Arabidopsis thaliana: one gene and its partners. The protein of the gene in region 1 interacts with the protein of each later gene in a pairwise test. Each region holds a gene or a part of one and is shown in the gene's direction. Other genes may lie near its edges.

Region 1 (5,279 bases):
CTGTGCATTGGCACCTCTGGCACTCCCCTAGAGCCGGGCCTGCAATCTAGTCATATAAATTTTTCTGAAAGGTTGATTATACATAGTCTCATGTAAACTAAAAATGGTTTACACAAGCATTCATCTTAATACTCAATCACGTATAATAACTAACATACTCAGTCCTTGTTTAAACACTTGTTATCTTATAACCCTATTACTTTGTTACTTCGCGAGCATGCTATCTAATTTTTACATATAAGTGATATAAACATACAATAACTATATGTCTATATCCATGAACCTTACTTTATAAGACAATCATGAACCATAACCATGCATGGAAAATATGCGGATGTGTTAAGAAATTTTTATCGACATTAGCTATTCGAGTTAATTTATTAAGTGGTTTGTATTTGAAACTATATATGTACACTGTACACAGAAGAAAAAATAATTTTAGGATACCACATATGGTTGATCAAGGAACAAAAAAAAAGAAAAGATGGAGTAGAATAAGCCAATAGTTTTGAAAAGTGGAGCAGGAAGAAGCGTAATGGAAATGATAAAGTTTTGTTATAGTAGACATTATCCATTTCTGCATACATCATCCATTATCTCACTTTAACTGCTCCTATGATTTTTCACAAGAAAAAATAATAAGAAATTAATTAAGATGTAAACAAAACTGAAAACCAAAAACCATCCGTTGAGGAAATATCCTTGTACACACTATAAACCCCACAGTAATATGATATAAAAATATTTTCCTTAACAATAAAATGAAATATTTGGGTATAGGTCAATGACCAAACTGTGGATCAACTAAAGTAAATATATTTCTATTATTGGAATGGAAGTTCACACTTAACTCAGAGTCCTTTCTGGATATATCAAATCCGATCAGAGAATTTTTCCTGAATGATCTGTCATTCAGTCAAATTAACTAACCCTTAAGACCCAAAAATGCAATAGACCTTTGTTAGAGGTGGAGGTAACCCTGGCCGAAGACGTAACCATGGCCTAATAGGTTTATGTCATAATAAAAATAAATTAAAAACATTATCTATCAATTTATTCCAACATAACTAAATGTTTTTTCTACTCCTACATTTTTCGTAATATACATTTATTGGCATTTCGTAAAGCTAAAAACTTATAAATTTTATCAAACAACATCTTTGATTACAATTGATTAATTTCTCGTAATCTCTCTTTCTCTTGTAACTGGATCTTCAGAGCCAAAACTAAGTTAAAATCTTAATTTAGCCATTAAGTGAAATATGTAGTGATAAAAAAGCTTCCCCTTAAAAAATCGTCTCCAACTTGTTTGACTAATATAACAAATCCACTACACTTATTAGTTAATGATTTGATAACTCCAAACTAGTCCGTAATTTTTAAATCGCTTACGCTAACAATATTGTATCTTCAAATTTACTAAGATATATTTTGTTTTTCCGAGTCAAATGTGATACCACATGTACATATATCTTTACAATGGAGTCAAAAGAGAAGACATCATGACGCAAAACCCCAAATTTTGAGTAGAGTGGTTAGGGCAGTTGATGAAAGAACGTCCCTACTCTTTCCTCTTCATCCTTTATTTATCAGCTTATCCTTAATCGAAAGCTAGAAAACAAAACCGCTATTTCACATTTTCTAATCGTTATTCAAATAATAAGTTTGTGTGAGTCTAAAAGTTAGATAGCAAAAGTTGCAAAACTATTGAATTTATTTTTCCATGTTTTTTTCGGAAATACTGTAATGTGATGAGTATAATTGGATCTGTTAGTTTGTTGGTTTTAATTAGAGGTTACTACTATAGAACATTTTATAGTTTTAATGTTTCTATAACCAACCAAAAATCCATTAGATCAAAGTATCCGAATTCAAATATCGTGTCAAAAAAAACACGATCATGCAATATACATTTAAGTGTCATAAATTAACCGTTACGTATTACATTGTGACCTATATGATAGTTACATTTATTTATTATACTTATATAAGCATAGTCCGTCCCTATCTCATATGTATAAATAAGACCCAACCCATCCATCATTGTTTTGCCTCCTAAAATCTTACAACACAAAAAAAAAAAAAACATTTAGTTAAATCCAATGAGAGACTCTTCAACAACTGCATCCACCAAATCCTCACCGTTATGGAAACCCTTTGCCTCAAACTGTTGTTCCGTTGATGACCAAACCGTCTTTGGCAATCTCAGCCGTTGCCGACCTTCGAGATCAGAATTCTCCAAGAACCATCTCGGACCACTTCCTTCTTTTCGGCGACTCTCCTTTGCTGATCTAAGCCGTTCTTCTTCGGCTAGGATCAATGAAGATCTTGCACAGACTCTTGGAGCCGACTTAGTGGATTTTCAGATGTGTGAACTCAAGATGATCACTCAGAGTTTCTCCGGGAACTATCTTCTCGGAGAAGGTGGGTTCGGTAAAGTGTATAAAGGTTATGTTGATGATTATCTCCGACAAAGTCTCAAGGCTCAGCCTGTTGCTGTCAAGCTATTGGACATTGAGGGGCTTCAAGGACATCGTGAATGGCTTGTAAGAACGTTTACCAATAATTGCATGCTAATTATTGTGTTATTTTTCTTGTTACTGTTCAGTAATTATTATTTAGTTATGACATACATTTGATTACGCATACGTATATGGTTTAAGTTATAGGACATCCCAAATATTATTCTAAAATTACAAACCACTCCTCATGGTTTTTATATTTTGAAGATTCTTTGGACTCATTTATTTTTAATTACTTTAGGCTAGGAAACTATATTAAAAAATGTGTTTGGTCATAATATGGACTAATTAAGTACGCATACGATACGAGCTTGTTGTTTCTTTTTTTGGTGTCACGTACATTGTAAGAGAATCTTTTTCTTGTTAGTCTGATATATGTAAGAGTTGGTTAGACCACTTTCGTATACTCTTATATACACCTATCATCTTAATTTAGTCTCTAAGAATATAATTAATTAAAAACATCTGATACATAATATGTTTTTGGTTCATATGCAGTCTGAGGTCATATTTCTTGGACAGCTAAAACACCCGAATTTAGTCAAACTTATTGGTTACTGCTGCGAAGAAGAGGAACGAGTACTCATCTACGAGTTTATGCCACGTGGTAGCCTAGAAAATCACCTCTTCAGACGTAAGAACATTTTTAATAATTAAAATTTAATTCGTATCTTAATGTAATTTTTACTGTATTAAGTGATCAGTATTTCATTTTACTTTCATATTAACGTAATTAAATTGTCAGGGATATCACTATCGTTGCCGTGGGCGACGCGGCTGAAGATAGCGGTCGCAGCTGCTAAGGGTTTGGCGTTTTTGCATGATTTGGAGAGTCCAATCATTTACCGTGATTTCAAAACTTCTAATATACTACTTGATTCGGTAATTTACTAATTTTAGTTTGATTTTTTTTTTTTCAGCGTACAAAATTATCCTAAATACATTCTTCAAAAATATATTTTCTTATTATTACATGGGGGTTTTCAGGATTTTACTGCAAAACTCTCAGATTTTGGGTTGGCAAAAATGGGACCAGAAGGATCCAAATCTCATGTCACAACTCGAGTCATGGGCACTTATGGTTATGCTGCTCCTGAATATGTTTCAACAGGTTTATACACAATGATTTCATTGTCTGTTTTTTCAGTATTTATTCAAATCATTAGGGTCCTTTTAAAAAAAAGGATATAGTTTCCTTCTCATATATATATCTTCCATTGCTTTCTCTTACAAAGAGACCATTTTGATAGAGTCATTTTGAGGATTACACAGAACATAGAAATAAGTAAAACATATAAATCTGTAATGCGTCAAAATTTGAATGAATAGGAATTAATTAATTTTATGGGATTCTAATTTTTGATTAATTTTTCTTTTCTTAACTCAACAGAGCTTTATTAATAAGAGTGGACATAGTCATGGTGTAATCAGAATCTAATTTTGATTAATTATCTAACGCATGTGAGCATTATTTTCAGGGCATTTAACAACAAAGAGTGACGTGTATAGTTATGGCGTCGTTTTACTCGAGCTCCTAACGGGAAGAAGAGCCACAGAAAAGTCACGGCCAAAAAACCAGCAGAACATCATCGACTGGTCAAAGCCTTATCTAACAAGCAGCCGCCGACTCCGATGTGTTATGGACCCGAGGCTCGCTGGACAATACTCCGTCAAGGCGGCTAAAGATACAGCTCTTCTAGCCTTACAATGTGTGAGCCCAAACCCTAAAGACCGGCCCAAAATGCTTGCCGTTGTGGAAGCTCTAGAGAGTCTCATACATTATAAGGACATGGCGGTTTCTTCTGGTCATTGGCCACTGTCTCCTAAATCTCAGGGCGGGAAGGTTTCCCCGAAGGTTCGAGGGGATCATCGGAGTGGTAGAAAATCAGCTCCGGGTTCGTTAAGATCGTGAACTTAGGGTTGAATGACCTTATAAAAAAAGAGAGAAAATAACATGTGTGATGTGGTGTGTGTGTATGTGTGTATACGGTCATACGTCTAAGAGTGACATAGTGAGAGACATATGACTCTCACTAAGAAAAAACAATGATATGAATATATAAATATTGTAGATTAGGGTTTTCGTATAAAATATTTAATCCAATTGGCTTTGATATAGTTTTGCGTTTTTCATTGTGAATATCACATCTGTAGATCATTCATGGTGTATAGTATCACTTAATTGGATCTAGTAATATCATATCATCTAACATATGTTTGCGTAATAGATTGAGGTCTTTTAAATACACTCTTTCATTTGATCAGATTCTAGAATTTTTTTTAAATAGTTTTAATGCAATATTTTGGATATATGCTAATTAATTAAAACTAAATGGGCCGGGCTACTTGACCCTAACCATAAGCCAAGCCCATAGAAGGCGTAACCCGTAATTCAGAAGCCCTAGGTTTCAGAGAAAGTATAAATACCTTATTTCAGTTTTCATTTTACCCCAAACATTAATATCTCTACTCATATCGCCGACTTAAAGGTACATAAAGTTTCTCTTGATTCTTTCGATCTTGCTTCAGGAATCAGGACACTGGTTCATCTCTTACCTCATTTGATTTTCATCATTAGGTTTCAATTTATGTGCGCTTTGTCTGTTAAATTTTCGTAATTTGCCTTGGTTGATCATAGTTTCACATTCTCTAGCTGCTTAAGTTTTGTAGTATGTTGTAAAAATGTGTGTTTTGATTATGATATACTCTCAAGGTAGTTCTGGTTTATGATTCAAAATGAGAACCCTCGGAGATACT
Region 2 (4,925 bases), on another chromosome or scaffold:
AATTGACCCATCAATTTTACAAACCCAAGTAATTGAATCAGAGAAGCCCAGATCAGATTTGGATACAACGATCCCAGATTCGATAAAGTTAACCAAATCTAAATTATATATATACAAATCGGGAAATTTGTGATCAAACCTTGAATCAGCTAGAATCTGAAGATTGCAGAGGTAAGAATCGGAGATCAAAAAAAGTTCTTCTTCTACTATTTTGTAAGCTTTTGAGGTTCCTTCCTTAAAGCAGATGGGTGGAGAGAAGAAGAAGAAGAAAAGTATGCGGGAAACAATGTCAAAACTGTAAATATGATGATCTAAATTATTAATAACTTTTAATATAACAAATATTAAAATGAAAACTATATAGTAATGTTTTCTTTTACTTACCCAAACGGCTGCAGCCTCTACCGTAATGGCACCGAACACGTCACCGCCATTAGCCACGACGCCAAAGACGAACATTGTTGAAGACTTGAAATCCACAAAGATGTTTTTAAACGAGAAAAAAAAAAACTCAAACGGGCTTAGGGCCTTTCCATATATTTTAGATTATAACAATTACATTTTCTCGGCCCACAGAAGTATATAAAATTAAATAGAAGTAAATTATATTGAGGATTTAAAATAACAAATTTAATTATAATTTGAAATCATGGTTATAATACGATCGTGTGAAATGTTAATTAAATGCTTATATTGATTATTTTATTATTAAATTTGTGCTAATTTTGGTAACGAATCTTATTTTTGTTATTGTATACGATGATTTAAAATATATATATATATATATATATATATATATATATATATATATATATAATAGTTCTAGAAAAGTCTAATTGGATTTTTTAGATCCTATCATAGTTGATAGTTCTCTTTTTGTATATGGCTAGCAATGCGGAATCGACTCTCTACATTAGATTCAATGAAGGCTTGGAATGTGAACTTGAATCGAACATGTGTGTTATGTAACACTCTTATCGAGACACGAGAGCACTTGTTTTTCAGCTGTAAGTACTCGTCGGCAGTCTGGTCCTCCCTAGCGAAACCACTACTCTAGTGACGATTCTCTACAATATGGCAAGCTCTAGTCATTATTATTACTTCTGATCACTGTAACAGAATCCATATATTCTTCCTCTAATACAGTTTTCAAATAATGGTTCATTCGATTTGGCGAGAACGCAATAAAAAAAACACACAATAAAACTCTGATTCTTATCACACATCTTCCTAAGTGAATAGATAAGCTGGAAAAAAAAAAAACTCTCAATCATTTGAAAGGAGAAATATAGTAGATACGAACCAAATCTCCAAACATGGTTTGCATCTAAAAGTCCTTAAAACCTCTCTTGTATAATCTAATTTCAAAACAATTTTGGAAAAGTTACATTTGATGTATCCTAACTTTATTTTTTCTTGGTCGAATTTAATATTTTATTAAAAATAATAATAGTAATAATCACAAAATCTAATTTGATCATTCTTAGGTGGGTAGGTACACTTATTTTACATACAGCCTCGACGGCACCAAAACATAGAATATATATATAAATACAAATACAAATATTCCAAATATAACCTCTCTCCCAAAGTCCTATCATATCAGAAAAAAAAAAAAAAATCCAAATTCAACACTCTCACACTTCGATATCTCCGCCTTCATTCTCCTCAGAGCCAACTGTCCTGAGATTTCGATTTCGATTTCTCCGATCTCTCTTCCTCCGTCGCCGGCGAAACCATGTCTCAGTCTATTCAATTCTCCACTCCTTCACACACTCCTCACCTTCTCCATCTCCCTCACTCACAATTCAACCGTCCTCTCTCCTCTATCTCCTTCCGTCGCTTCCCTCTAACAACCATCAAATACACTTCCATCAGAGCCTCCTCGTCATCATCTCCTTCACCGGATCTCGATTCATCGTCCTCATCATCATCCTCGCAAGTACTTCTCTCACCTAACGGTACTGGTGCTGTGAAGTCTGATGAGAGATCCGTTGTCGCTACGGCGGTTACGACTGATACGTCTGGGATTGAGGTTGATACTGTGACGGAAGCTGAGCTTAAGGAGAATGGATTTAGAAGTACGAGGAGGACGAAGCTGATCTGTACGATCGGACCGGCGACTTGTGGATTTGAGCAGCTTGAGGCGCTTGCTGTGGGAGGTATGAATGTGGCAAGGCTTAATATGTGTCACGGTACGCGTGATTGGCACCGCGGTGTGATTCGTAGTGTTCGGAGGCTTAATGAGGAGAAAGGCTTTGCGGTTGCTATTATGATGGATACTGAAGGTAGTGAGATTCATATGGGAGATCTTGGTGGTGAAGCTTCAGCTAAAGCAGAGGTTGTTTAATCTCTTCTTATTTTGATTTGAATTCGATGTAGACATTGCTGTGTTTGTGATTTAGATGTTTAAGCTTTGGTGGTGATGACATTTTTACAGGATGGTGAGGTTTGGACTTTCACTGTTAGAGCTTTTGATTCTTCTCGTCCTGAACGTACCATTAGTGTTAGCTACGATGGTTTCGCTGAAGGTATATGCAATTATGTTTATGTAAAAGTGGAAGTGAAAACATTAGATGAATATTATGGTGACTGCGTATGAAATAGGAATCATTTGGTCTTTGTGTGTGGTGTAGATGTAAGAGTTGGGGATGAACTTTTGGTTGATGGTGGGATGGTGAGATTTGAAGTGATTGAGAAGATTGGTCCTGATGTTAAGTGTCTATGTACCGATCCTGGATTGTTGCTTCCTCGAGCTAACTTGACGTTTTGGAGAGATGGAAGTCTTGTACGAGAGCGTAATGCCATGCTTCCAACAATTTCTTCCAAGGTTTGTAATTTTGTATCTTCCCTTTAAGCTTTGAATTATGATTCACTTTACTTGGTAAATTTGGGAGGGATCAAAGCAATGGTGAAGATGTACACTTTTGGAAACTAGATGAGTCCATGTTAGCAAAACAGATGATACCTGAGGGAAAACATACTCATTTTCACTGATGATACCTCAATTCTTTATATTCAGGACTGGTTGGATATTGATTTTGGAATTGCTGAAGGTGTGGATTTCATTGCTGTATCGTTTGTCAAGTCGGCTGAAGTCATTAATCACCTTAAAAGTTATCTTGCTGCTCGTTCCCGTGGAGGGTAAGTAAACATGCTCAATATCAACACATCATACTACTGTACAGGAAACATATGATCTACTTTGGGATTGGGTTTTGCGTCATGTATTCACCATCTTTAGTTATAGTTTTATTTTGATGTTGTATTCAACTATGATGCAGGGAAATTGGAGTGATTGCAAAGATCGAGAGTATCGATTCACTGACCAATTTGGAAGAAATTATTCTAGCATCAGATGGGGCCATGGTTGCAAGAGGAGATCTGGGAGCTCAGATACCTCTTGAGCAAGTTCCAGCAGCTCAACAGAGAATCGTCCAAGTATGCAGAGCTCTTAACAAACCCGTCATTGTCGCTTCACAGCTATTGGAGTCCATGATTGAGTACCCAACTCCAACCAGAGCAGAAGTTGCCGACGTGTCTGAAGCAGTAAGACAAAGATCAGATGCATTGATGCTCTCTGGAGAATCAGCTATGGGACAATTCCCAGACAAGGCGCTCACGGTTCTAAGGACTGTCAGTTTAAGAATCGAGAGATGGTGGAGGGAAGAGAAACGCCATGAGTCTGTACCGCTTCAAGCCATAGGCTCTTCATTTTCAGACAAAATCTCAGAAGAGATCTGTAACTCAGCTGCTAAAATGGGTAAATTTAGGTTCTTTGTTTTCCATAGAAGGCAATATGTCTTTAGTGTCTCATTTTACTATCCAAAAACTTGCAGCTAACAATCTTGGAGTGGACGCGGTTTTCGTTTACACAACGAGCGGACACATGGCATCACTGGTCTCCCGATGTCGCCCGGACTGCCCGATCTTTGCTTTCACAACCACAACCTCAGTGAGAAGACGCTTAAACCTACAATGGGGACTTATCCCATTCCGTCTCAGCTTCTCAGACGACATGGAAAGCAACTTGAACAAAACATTCTCGTTACTGAAATCAAGAGGTATGATCAAATCTGGTGACCTCGTGATCGCAGTCTCGGACATGCTGCAATCAATCCAGGTAATGAACGTCCCGTAATTCTCTCTCTTTATACAATTTCGCAATCCCGCAAAAGAGTGTTTTGTTTCCTACTTTTGTTACTGTTTTTAGACTACTCTTACATTAGATTCCAGAGGCATCATCATCTTCGGTTTGTTAACAACAGTAATGTGTAAGCTTTGTTTGTAGTGTGTACTGTTTGTTTTTGGTTTTCAATAATATCAGTAATCTTATTCAAATATTCGATTCTATCATTTAGTCCTTTTGTTTTATCTTTTTGTTAGGATATATATGTAAACCCAAATAGGATGAGTTCGAATATATACCATAACCCTATATTATAAATAGTGTATATATAATCACAATTAGAATCGCCTCTCCATTAGAGAAGATATTTGAACAAACATGAAAAGTTGCAAGAGACCTCGGATGAAGAATCAAGAGAGAGATTTTTATGAAACTCCGTCGGATTGTTCGGAAGAAGAGATTCAACGGAGTTGCGAGTTCGTGAAAAAAGTTAAAGAGTTGGATGATAAGACAATCATCGTTAAATTTTTAAATGCAATGAAGTCTTATCGATCTAAGTCTTTAAGTTACATCGATCTCAAAACCAAAGTCGCTTCTATTCTTCGTAACCACGACGCTCTGCTCCAAGAATTCCATCAGCTTCTTCTATTAGATTCACCTATCACAGAGAAGGATTGTAACTCGGCAAAATCAGACGTAGAACGCACGGTTGAGTTGATGAAGAAAGTGGAAGGTTTGGGAAAGGGTTTACACGGTGCGTTCCTAAATCAGCTGGTGTTTGGCGGTGATATTGTGG
Region 3 (4,846 bases), on another chromosome or scaffold:
GAGTGTGTGATGTGTACATATTTCTGACGAATACTTTTTGTTGCATTATCCAAATTTTTACATGTTCCCGAGCCGAGAGTCTAAGACGACGATTTCCAAATTATTGTCGTTGCTGTTATTATAATTGTTAATAATAGTAAGAATTATTATTATTATTTAGGACACGCAAGATTCCACATGATACTGCTTAAGCACTACGTCGAGCTAAAATGAAATACTCGATTTAAATGAACTACCCCATTAGTTACTTGAAGATGAAACGAAACAATTTGGTTTTGGTCTTTTGGATCATATAGTTAAACGTTATGTATCTTACTCAGTTTATTTTAATGAAGTTTGTTGTTTGGTATATCAATTAGCCTTAGATGTCAAATCAAAACGAAACAAAAACATGAAAATTCAATTTGGCGTTAAATCAAAATAATAATTAATATTCCATGGATAATTAATATACACTTAGCAAATTACCGAAGTACCCTTGCTATCTCGTTGTCGTCAATAATCAAAATTACAGTATTAACCCAATTAAGAGCGTTTAGCGTCTACGTGTAAAGCGGTATCAGGAGAAAGGAGCAGCGATCACATGGGTGGCTTAAATCTATATCCTCCGGTTCCTCACCGGCCAATTATTCTCGCGCGTGTCTCCGCTCCTCTCTGATGCGCGTCACTCAAAAAGTTTGAGTCAAACTCCAGTAATATTTTTGATTTATTTTGTATTTTCAAGAATTTCTTAAAAATTGCTGTTACGTAATTTACAATGCAATGTCTCGCGGTAAAGGTAGAGCCGGAACTCAAGTCAGATCAATCTCCGTGTATGATTGTGTTCGCATCCAATGTTAATAATTTCAGGATTTGTATTTTCCAAGTTAAAGGATACTATTGTTAACTAACGTATATGCTGACAAAAAAAATAAAAAAATAACGAATATTATAAATTTATATCAGTCGCATAATGAAATGTGTAATTTCACCCAGACAAAAATATCTCTACAGAACAAAAAAAAAACGTTTGTTATATATGTTTATTCTGTATATTTAAAATGTAGTCTAACGTTTGTTCTATATGTCTACAATGTGTATTTATATTTAAAACATATTCCATCCTTAATTTGCTTTATATTATTGTTACACCATTCATAGTAATGGAAGAAATATCTATTGGCATTCTATACTTTATGATATATATATATATATGAACCAAAGTATTGTATGTCCAACTGGGACATTTTATATGACGGCGGACGAATAAAGCTTAGCAGATATATATGTACGTGCTGGTAACTCCATATTCATTATTTTGGATTTAAGTTGTAACTCCATACACAATACACATTGATGGATTAGCATTGCATTTTTTTTATGGCATTTTATATCAAAAGATTCTCAATCAAAACTTAGATAGATTCCTAAAGCTTGTAATTAAAGCATCAAACATATTTGTTAACCAGTTATTATTTTTGAAATCGAGTAGTGTTTTGTTGATGCTACATATTATTCCATCATAAAAAGAAAATTAATGTGTGTGTAAGTGTGTTTGAAATAAGTCAATATCTTAGTACAGTAATTAACTAATTATACGAAGAAGAACTATAAGGGTAAAAACGGTAATTACAGTATTTGGTCAGCCATAGTTATTCCCGCTCGTCTCTTGAAAAAAATTCAAACCGGTAAACCATTTTGGTCATACACGTTACAGTAACACGGTGGTCTGGTCTTCAATAATAACCACGTCAGCAGCATACAGTAAAAACTACTTTAAATGTTTTTTTTTATTCTCACCCAAGAAAATAATTTATTTTTGTTTTGTCGTTCTCCTTCCTAAATAATTTTTCAACTACCACAATTAATTTAAAAATTAAAAATAGAGTATATTTGGAAAGGCACAAAAAAAAGAAACAAAATTCAAAATCTGAAATTTCTCAGCCTCCTCGTTTCTTCACCCAGAGGAGAGAGAAATCTGAGGAATTCGATCTTCGCTTAAAGAAGACGAAACAATCTCTCTCTCTTTCTCTCTTCAATGGTCTCACCATCTCTGTCTACCATCTCCTAGCCAAAGAAGAAGACGAGAAGAAGAAGAGAGGGTCACAACAATGCTTTATTCTTCTTATGTCTCCAGCCATGTGAGCTCCCACTGACACATTCTCTGCATCTTCGGAAGTTTTGTTTTGGTTTGATTCTTCTCACCGATTCCTGCGACCGAGTTTGACCCTCGAGTTTCGAGGTTAGTGGATGGCTTCATCCTCATCGAGAACTAGAAGCAGTAGACCTCCAAGTCCCGCTTCTTCCACTTCTTCTTCTCATCTCAGCAACCGTCTCATTCCTCGTTCTAACTCTACCTCTGCTTCCTCATTGATTACCTCCGCCGCCGGAATCGCCTCCCGATCTATGACGCCTAGTCGCACCTTCTCCGACTCGGGCCTTATCGGCTCCGGCAGCTTTGGAATTGGATCGCCTGTTCCCTACCCGTCAGAGGAGCTTCTCGGTGACCCTATGGACGATACTATTAGCTCTGAGCGGGATAGTATCTCCGTCACCGTTCGTTTTCGTCCGTTGAGGTATGCTAGATCTGATCTCGCCATGGACCAGATCTATTGCAGAGATTACAGTTTTCATGTAGATGCAATTGGAGTCAATTCTTTATTGGGGTTTGCAAATTCAAGTTTTTATCTTTGTGGGTTTGCAGTGATAGAGAGTATCAAAGAGGAGATGAAGTTGCTTGGTACCCTGATGGTGATACATTGGTTAGGCACGAGTATAACCCACTCACAGCTTACGCATTTGGTATTTGGTTCACCTCTCAATTATTCTGAATGTTTTCTTGTAATCATTGAGTGAATGTTTTCCAAATTTGTTTTGATGCCAGATAAAGTTTTTGGACCACAGGCAACTACTATTGACGTTTATGATGTAGCTGCGAGACCAGTAGTCAAGGCAGCAATGGAAGGTGTTAACGGTAAGTAACATTGCTGCAAAATTCAGCTTTACCAAAATCTGTATCTTTTATATAGAAATATCCTCTAAACCAATTGGTCCGCAAGTAGTATTGCTTGCAACATATTTTCTGACTCAGGGTTGGAATTTTGACAGGAACCGTTTTTGCTTACGGTGTTACTAGCAGTGGAAAGACACATACAATGCATGTAAGGGTTTTAAAAAAGAAGAATCCTTATACGCCTTTCTCTCTAGTTTTTCTTCAAAACACATGTGCTATGAATTGGGATCTCTTCTTCAACTTGGTCCCCCTTTGGTATCTGCTGGTTATTCTGGGTTACTCTAAACATTTACATGGTAGCAAAAGATACCATACAAATACCAACTTGCCATCATTAATTGGTGATGGTTATGTGAGTTGGAAATCCTCGTATGAATGGAATTTGAAGGTCTTCATTTAGATTGGCTGTGCTTATCTTTAGTGAAGTAGCTACGTTGGGTCTTTAGTTCCCGTCCAAACAAGTAGAACCTAAATCTGATGTTCTTTTTGTTCTGCCATTGGTTGCTTTTGCAATATGCATAGGGTGATCAAGAATCTCCTGGGATCATACCGCTAGCAATAAAAGACGTGTTCAGTATCATCCAGGATGTAAGTGGTCTTAACGGGGTTCATGTCTTTTCTCATCTCATCACGACTTTTTTATATGATTTCATGCTCGCTAACTGGCTACATTTTTATATTTCAGACTCCAGGAAGGGAGTTCCTGCTCCGTGTTTCATATCTTGAAATATACAATGAGGTAAGTGGAACTTTTTATCCTTGATATATTTACTTGGTAATCCCTGAAAAGTAGATATTTTTAGATTGGGATATGTTTTCTAGTTCTTCTGCCTTATCTTTGAGAACTAGAATGCTTAAAAATATAGAGAATTGGGTGACTGTTCATGATCTTCTTGGTTTTACATGTGTGCTTCTATGTTTCAGATATCCGCAGTTTATCTGATAACCGTCTTTGTATCAGGTGATAAATGATTTACTGGATCCAACAGGCCAAAACTTACGTGTTAGAGAGGATTCCCAGGTTTGCTTCAACCTCTATAGAATGCTTGGCTTTCTCCCATTTCTCTCTCACACACGCACACACATTGTGCTCTACTAGAATAAATGTGAACAAATTAGCTTAGAATCACATGTGAATTTGATATCATTTGAGAAAAGATATTGATTCGTTTTGCGTTTTGTTTTTCTAGGGCACTTATGTTGAGGGTATCAAGGAAGAAGTTGTTTTGTCTCCTGGCCATGCACTATCATTCATTGCAGCTGGGGAAGGTTATTAGATAATTTAACCCCTGAAACATGTTTTGATTTTGTCAACTCTGTCCTTCCCGCCTCTACTTAACATTGCTGTTGTTTTTAATTGCAGAACATCGTCATGTTGGTTCAAATAATTTCAATTTGTTGAGCAGCAGAAGTCACACTATATTTACACTGGTACGTCTTCATGCTCCAAGCTCCAAGAGCTTGTCATATTGTAATTTGTAGCCTCTTTTCAGTGTCTCGGCATGATGTTTTGCTCTTACAAGGTGTCCTTACAATGTACATGTTTTGAAGTCTAATTTGTATGTGTTTGCAGATGGTTGAAAGTAGTGCTACTGGAGATGAATATGATGGAGTTATCTTTTCTCAACTCGTAAGGGCCTCTTTCTTTTTGTTATTGTATAAGATCAATTAGTTTTGAAAATGGGACCTAACTGTATATTTTCTTGTTTAGAATTTGATTGACTTAGCTGGATCTGAGAGTTCGAAAACTGAAACAACTGGATTGAGGAGGAAGGAGGGTTCATACATCAACAAGAGTCTTCTAACTCTTGGAACTGTAGGTGTCTATTTTTGATTCGAGCTATCTTTCTATTT
Region 4 (4,940 bases), on another chromosome or scaffold:
AGAACATGAAACCTGAACAGAAAGCCATATACTTCATTGCTTCTGACAGCATTACAAGTGCTAAGAATGCACCTTTCCTCGAAAAGATGCTGGAGAAAGGACTTGAAGTATGTGTTGTTCTTCTGAATGGGGCCTCGTTTTGTTCTTCCTTGCAAATATTCCTATTAACTCAGAGGTGATTGACATGTATTTCTTTGTATTGTGAACGTAGGTACTATATTTGGTAGAGCCTATTGATGAAGTTGCCGTACAGAGTTTAAAAGCTTATAAGGAGAAGGATTTTGTAGATATCAGCAAGGAAGACTTGGATCTAGGCAAGTGCCTGATGTAATTCCTTGATTTAGCATGTCAGGTAATCACTTATGTATAATAACAAATTCTGGCTTTGATCTTTGTATTGACAGGAGACAAGAACGAGGAGAAAGAGGCAGCAGTGAAAAAAGAGTTTGGACAGACTTGTGACTGGATAAAGAAACGATTGGGTGACAAGGTTGCCAGTGTTCAAATTTCCAACCGTCTTAGTTCTTCCCCCTGTGTTCTTGTATCTGGTAAATTTGGTTGGTCAGCCAATATGGAGAGGTAAGATCTGACCTTTTTCTTAAGCAAGGATTTCCGTTCTCCTTTTTTGCCCCTGGTGAACTAACACAGAATATGTTATCTGGACAGGCTAATGAAGGCACAATCAACTGGTGACACAATAAGCCTCGACTACATGAAAGGGAGAAGAGTGTTTGAGATCAATCCCGACCACTCAATTATCAAGAACATAAATGTGAAGTCACCATTCATCATAACTTGTACCTGGCTATTATAATTAAATCTAGGAGCCGCTTTTTGAGCTTGGCTTGTTTTTTTCTTGCACCCTGCAGGCTGCTTACAATAGTAACCCAAATGACGAAGATGCAATGAGAGCCATAGATCTTATGTATGACGCAGCACTAGTTTCTAGTGGGTTCACGGTGAGTCCTATTCTACATTAACATTCTTAACTTTTTGTTGTCTCTAGAATTGAAATAAAGTAAATACTGGTAAAACTTAATTGTTGTTTCTCAAAACTACAGCCCGATAATCCAGCAGAGCTGGGTGGGAAGATATATGAGATGATGGATGTAGCTCTTTCCGGGAAATGGTCAAGCCCTGAGGTGCAGCCGCAGCAACAGCAGATGGCACATTCTCACGATGCAGAGACGTTTGAAGCTGAAGTGGTTGAACCAGTCGAAGTGGATGGGAAGAAATGAACACAAGCCTAATGTTTTATGTCCCTGCTACGATTCTCATCATATTCTTCTTCTTTTATTAGTAGTAGCAGTAAAAGTAGAACCCCAAAACTCAGAACAATAGGCAATGAGCGAATGATAATCTCTATTTATGTTGGAGAGATTAATAATTGATTGAGCTTGTTTTTGTTCCAGTTTGTGTTGATCCTCCTCGGTATAATTTTAATAACCGTTAAGAAAAATTCAGTTGGGGTGTTTTTGGAAAGATTTTTCGAGTTTTATCTAACAAAACTAAAATTTTGGGACATATGGTAATTTTTAATTAAATAGAGGGATGTTGTTATCGTACGAATTGGGTTGGTTTAAAACTTTGTTTGGACAGATTCGACTCAAACGTTGAACGCGTTTAAAAAAGTCAACAAAAGTCGAAGGTTACCGGCTGGTCAGGTTAACCGTTAGAGATTAATGAACTGGCAGCTGTATGTCTTTTTTATAGTTCTGTCTTAACAGGCAAAAAAGTGTTTAATTTATCTTTCCTTTGGGTTTCTCACGGAGTCACGGTTCCTCGTTCGTCCTCTCCCGTCGTCTCTCCGGTGAGTCCTTAATTTTCCGGCGGTCTTTTTCCCTTTCTCGTCTGTTTGGTGCTTTCTTTATGTCTGAGGCGAATACAGCAAAACGTATCTGTTTTGGTTGTTGAGTTCGAGGCTGGTCCTGAAAATTCGGTGACAAAAAGAGTCAATAACTCTCGTGATCGAGTTGGATGCGTTGTTTTGAGGGTTGATTCAGTTTATGACTATGTATTTTGGTACTTGCAAGATTTTCTGATTTTATGAAGATTCGTGTTTGACTTTTATAGCGTATAATCTACGGGGCAAACAGATTCGAGCAACTTGTTTTTTTCTAGCGCTTGTTTTGTGTTTACTCTGTCATGTGTTTGTATTTTTTGAGCTTCCACTAGTGATTAATCATCTCAGCTCAATTTGAACATAGGAGATGTAGTTTTTATCTGTCGGTGGATTTCTAGGGATTTTGCAAAATGTTTTGGGCTTTCCTGAATTAGTATGTGATTTGGTCGTAAAGTATTTTAGGGATTTATGTGTTCCTTGGGGTGAATCTGACATTGACATTATCTTGGTGTCTGCAGCACTAAATTGATGGGCACATCATCTGGGTCCAATCTTCCTCACCAGATGCTACCTCCACGTCAGCAACTACAAACATCTCTTTCGCTTGTATCTTCAGATCCCCACTTGTCACGGTCTAATTCTGGCATTGTGCGTGAATCACCAGCTGAAAGTGCTAGCTCTCAAGAAACTTGGCCAACCTCAAAATCTATTATGGGAAGGAAGACAGATAGCGGAAAGACAGGGCCTGACTCTCATGATCAACATGTGATCCGCCATGTTTCCATTGCTGATAAGGTATCGCTACGGGACATAGCTAGAGAGAGACTTGACATAGTCGCTGAGAGAATGCATCGATTACCAGAAGAATATCTCGAGGAGTTAAAGAATGGTCTTAAGGCTATCCTTGAAGGAAATGGTGCGCAGCCTATAGATGAGTTTATGTTTCTGCAGAAGTTTGTCCAGACGAGATCTGATTTAACTTCAAAGACACTTGTCAGGGCTCACCGAGTGCAGCTTGAAGTTCTTGTGGTTATAAACACTGGTATCCAAGCATTCTTGCACCCAAACATCAATCTCTCTCAGTCATCACTCATCGAGATCTTTGTGTACAAGAGATGCAGAAACATAGCTTGCCAAAACGAACTCCCGGCTGATGGTTGTCCCTGTGAGATATGCGCTAATAGGAAAGGCTTCTGCAACCTGTGCATGTGTGTGATATGTAACAAGTTTGACTTTGCAGTCAACACATGCCGCTGGATTGGCTGCGACGTGTGTTCTCATTGGACTCATACGGATTGTGCTATTAGGGATGGGGAGATTTCGATGGGAGTTTCTCCCAAGAGCGTATCTGGGATGGGAGAAATGCTGTTCAAGTGTCGAGCGTGCAACCATACTTCTGAATTGCTGGGGTGGGTGAAAGATGTGTTTCAGCACTGTGCACCAAACTGGGATAGGGAATCTTTAATGAAGGAACTTGACTTCGTTAGTAGGATTTTCCGTGGAAGCGAAGATACAAGAGGCCGGAAACTCTTCTGGAAGTGTGAGGAGCTTATGGAGAAGATTAAAGGTGGACTGGCTGAAGCAACAGCGGCCAAGTTGATACTCATGTTTTTCCAAGGTAAGCCCACTCGCTATTGTTATATGATAAGGGTTTACTCTTTATAGACCTAACCATGTTTTGTGTATGAAGAAATTGAATTGGACTCTCCAAAGAGCCTTGAAAGCGGAGAAGGTGGGGGTACGATAGCACCTCAAGATGCATGCAACCGAATTGCTGAAGTTGTAAAGGAAACACTGAGGAAAATGGAGATAGTGGGTGAGGAAAAGACGAGGATGTACAAGAAAGCGCGAATGGGGCTTGAGGAATGCGAGAGAGAGGTAGAAGAGAAAGCAAAGCAAGTGGCGGAACTGCAGATGGAGAGGCAGAAGAAGAAACAACAGATAGAAGAGGTGGAGAGGATAGTGAGGCTGAAGCAAGCAGAGGCAGAGATGTTTCAGTTAAAAGCAAACGAGGCAAAAGTGGAAGCAGAGAGATTGGAAAGGATTGTGAAAGCGAAAAAGGAGAAAACAGAAGAGGAATACGCAAGTAACTATTTGAAACTGAGGCTGAGCGAGGCGGAGGCAGAGAAAGAGTATCTGTTTGAAAAGATAAAAGAGCAGGAAAGTGGTGGGAATGGTGGTGAAGCGTCACAAGCAGTGATGTACTCAAAGATCAGAGAAATGCTGCATGGATACAATGCATCGTCGCCAAGGGTAGATCCAAGATCAAACCAGCGAAATCCTTTCAGATCCAATCCTTAGATGTTTGTATTGTCTCTCTTTGTTTGTATTAAAAAAAAAATCCGAATCAATTAAGGTTGGATTTGTGTGTGAAGTATTGTGGTCTTTGTATTCAAATTTTGCACATGATCGTCTATGTTGGGCCATAATGTTATGCAAGCTTTGACACAGAGTGTTGCCAAAATCTCGATACTTATTCACTCGGATTTAGAGAATTGTGGATTTCGCTAATGGAGGGAGATCCATGTTACCTTAAATAGTTTATATTTGAGCCAACATGAGAGCCAAAGAACATCGCCACCGACTTTAAAAAGAAAATATTTTGCCCAAATGGATATTACAGAGTAGTTATTTGCAATAACGTCCTCATGTTTGGGTTATAATAACGATTTGATTTCTTACGGGGTATAAAGCAAAAGGAATCAAAACGTTTGGGGAAATAATGTAATATTCTGGAAACAAAACGCGTATAATCGGATTGATAAGGAATATTATATCATCGCCGATGCAATCATCGACCATCGTTTTGTTTTCCTGTCTACCCAAAAACAAACCCTAGTGTCCGAATTCTCGACAAAATTCATCGGCTCCAAATTCCATTCGTGCTTTTTGAATTCGCGTTCTTCTGATTCAAGATGTTTCTTTCACCTGGTCATTCTCCTCGTCAGATTTCTTCTCCATCGCCGTCTTCTTATTCCGATGATACCCTCCGATCAACGCCTCGCAGTTCTTCCTCGGAGATCATTCCTCGAAACCCTAGAAAACGGATGAGAGTTCTCGATGAGGACGCTTATGTTGAAGCAATCGAGAAGATCAT

Evidence for each region.
Region 2: the proteins of AT1G61590 (region 1) and PKP-ALPHA interact in a two-hybrid assay, tested with the Arabidopsis thaliana proteins (one large-scale study listed by BioGRID).
Region 3: the proteins of AT1G61590 (region 1) and AT4G39050 interact in a two-hybrid assay, tested with the Arabidopsis thaliana proteins (one large-scale study listed by BioGRID).
Region 4: the proteins of AT1G61590 (region 1) and OBE1 interact in a two-hybrid assay, tested with the Arabidopsis thaliana proteins (one large-scale study listed by BioGRID).

What each region holds. Positions count from the first base shown.
Region 1 is NC_003070.9:22,722,846-22,728,124, reverse strand, and holds AT1G61590 (Protein kinase superfamily protein), read left to right. Parts: upstream 1-1,934; 5' UTR 1,935-2,102; coding exon 2,103-2,546; intron 2,547-3,020; coding exon 3,021-3,156; intron 3,157-3,267; coding exon 3,268-3,404; intron 3,405-3,509; coding exon 3,510-3,633; intron 3,634-4,000; coding exon 4,001-4,434; 3' UTR 4,435-4,757; downstream 4,758-5,279. UniProt on the Arabidopsis thaliana protein: May be involved in plant defense signaling.
Region 2 is NC_003074.8:8,137,631-8,142,555, forward strand, and holds PKP-ALPHA (Pyruvate kinase family protein), read left to right. Parts: upstream 1-1,554; 5' UTR 1,555-1,738; coding exon 1,739-2,341; intron 2,342-2,440; coding exon 2,441-2,531; intron 2,532-2,636; coding exon 2,637-2,830; intron 2,831-3,022; coding exon 3,023-3,144; intron 3,145-3,284; coding exon 3,285-3,763; intron 3,764-3,839; coding exon 3,840-4,141; 3' UTR 4,142-4,422; downstream 4,423-4,925. Other genes in the region: AT3G22961 (Paired amphipathic helix (PAH2) superfamily protein), read left to right, coding at 4,508-4,925.
Region 3 is NC_003075.7:18,191,233-18,196,078, forward strand, and holds the start of AT4G39050 (Kinesin motor family protein), read left to right. Parts: upstream 1-1,842; 5' UTR 1,843-2,229; coding exon 2,230-2,555; intron 2,556-2,683; coding exon 2,684-2,781; intron 2,782-2,863; coding exon 2,864-2,953; intron 2,954-3,087; coding exon 3,088-3,140; intron 3,141-3,514; coding exon 3,515-3,580; intron 3,581-3,677; coding exon 3,678-3,731; intron 3,732-3,953; coding exon 3,954-4,013; intron 4,014-4,182; coding exon 4,183-4,261; intron 4,262-4,355; coding exon 4,356-4,423; intron 4,424-4,565; coding exon 4,566-4,622; intron 4,623-4,703; coding exon 4,704-4,808; intron 4,809-4,846.
Region 4 is NC_003074.8:2,482,733-2,487,672, forward strand, and holds OBE1 (potyvirus VPg interacting protein (DUF1423)), read left to right. Parts: upstream 1-1,721; 5' UTR 1,722-2,253; coding exon 2,254-2,276; intron 2,277-2,361; coding exon 2,362-3,461; intron 3,462-3,533; coding exon 3,534-4,144; 3' UTR 4,145-4,394; downstream 4,395-4,940. Other genes in the region: Hsp89.1 (HEAT SHOCK PROTEIN 89.1), read left to right, coding at 1-107, 212-314, 405-579, 667-772, 870-959, 1,062-1,238; AT3G07790 (DGCR14-like protein), read left to right, coding at 4,759-4,940. UniProt on the Arabidopsis thaliana protein: Probable transcription factor that acts together with OBE2 for the maintenance and/or establishment of both the shoot and root meristems, probably by controlling the expression of the meristem genes such as WUS, PLT1 and PLT2 and of genes required for auxin responses.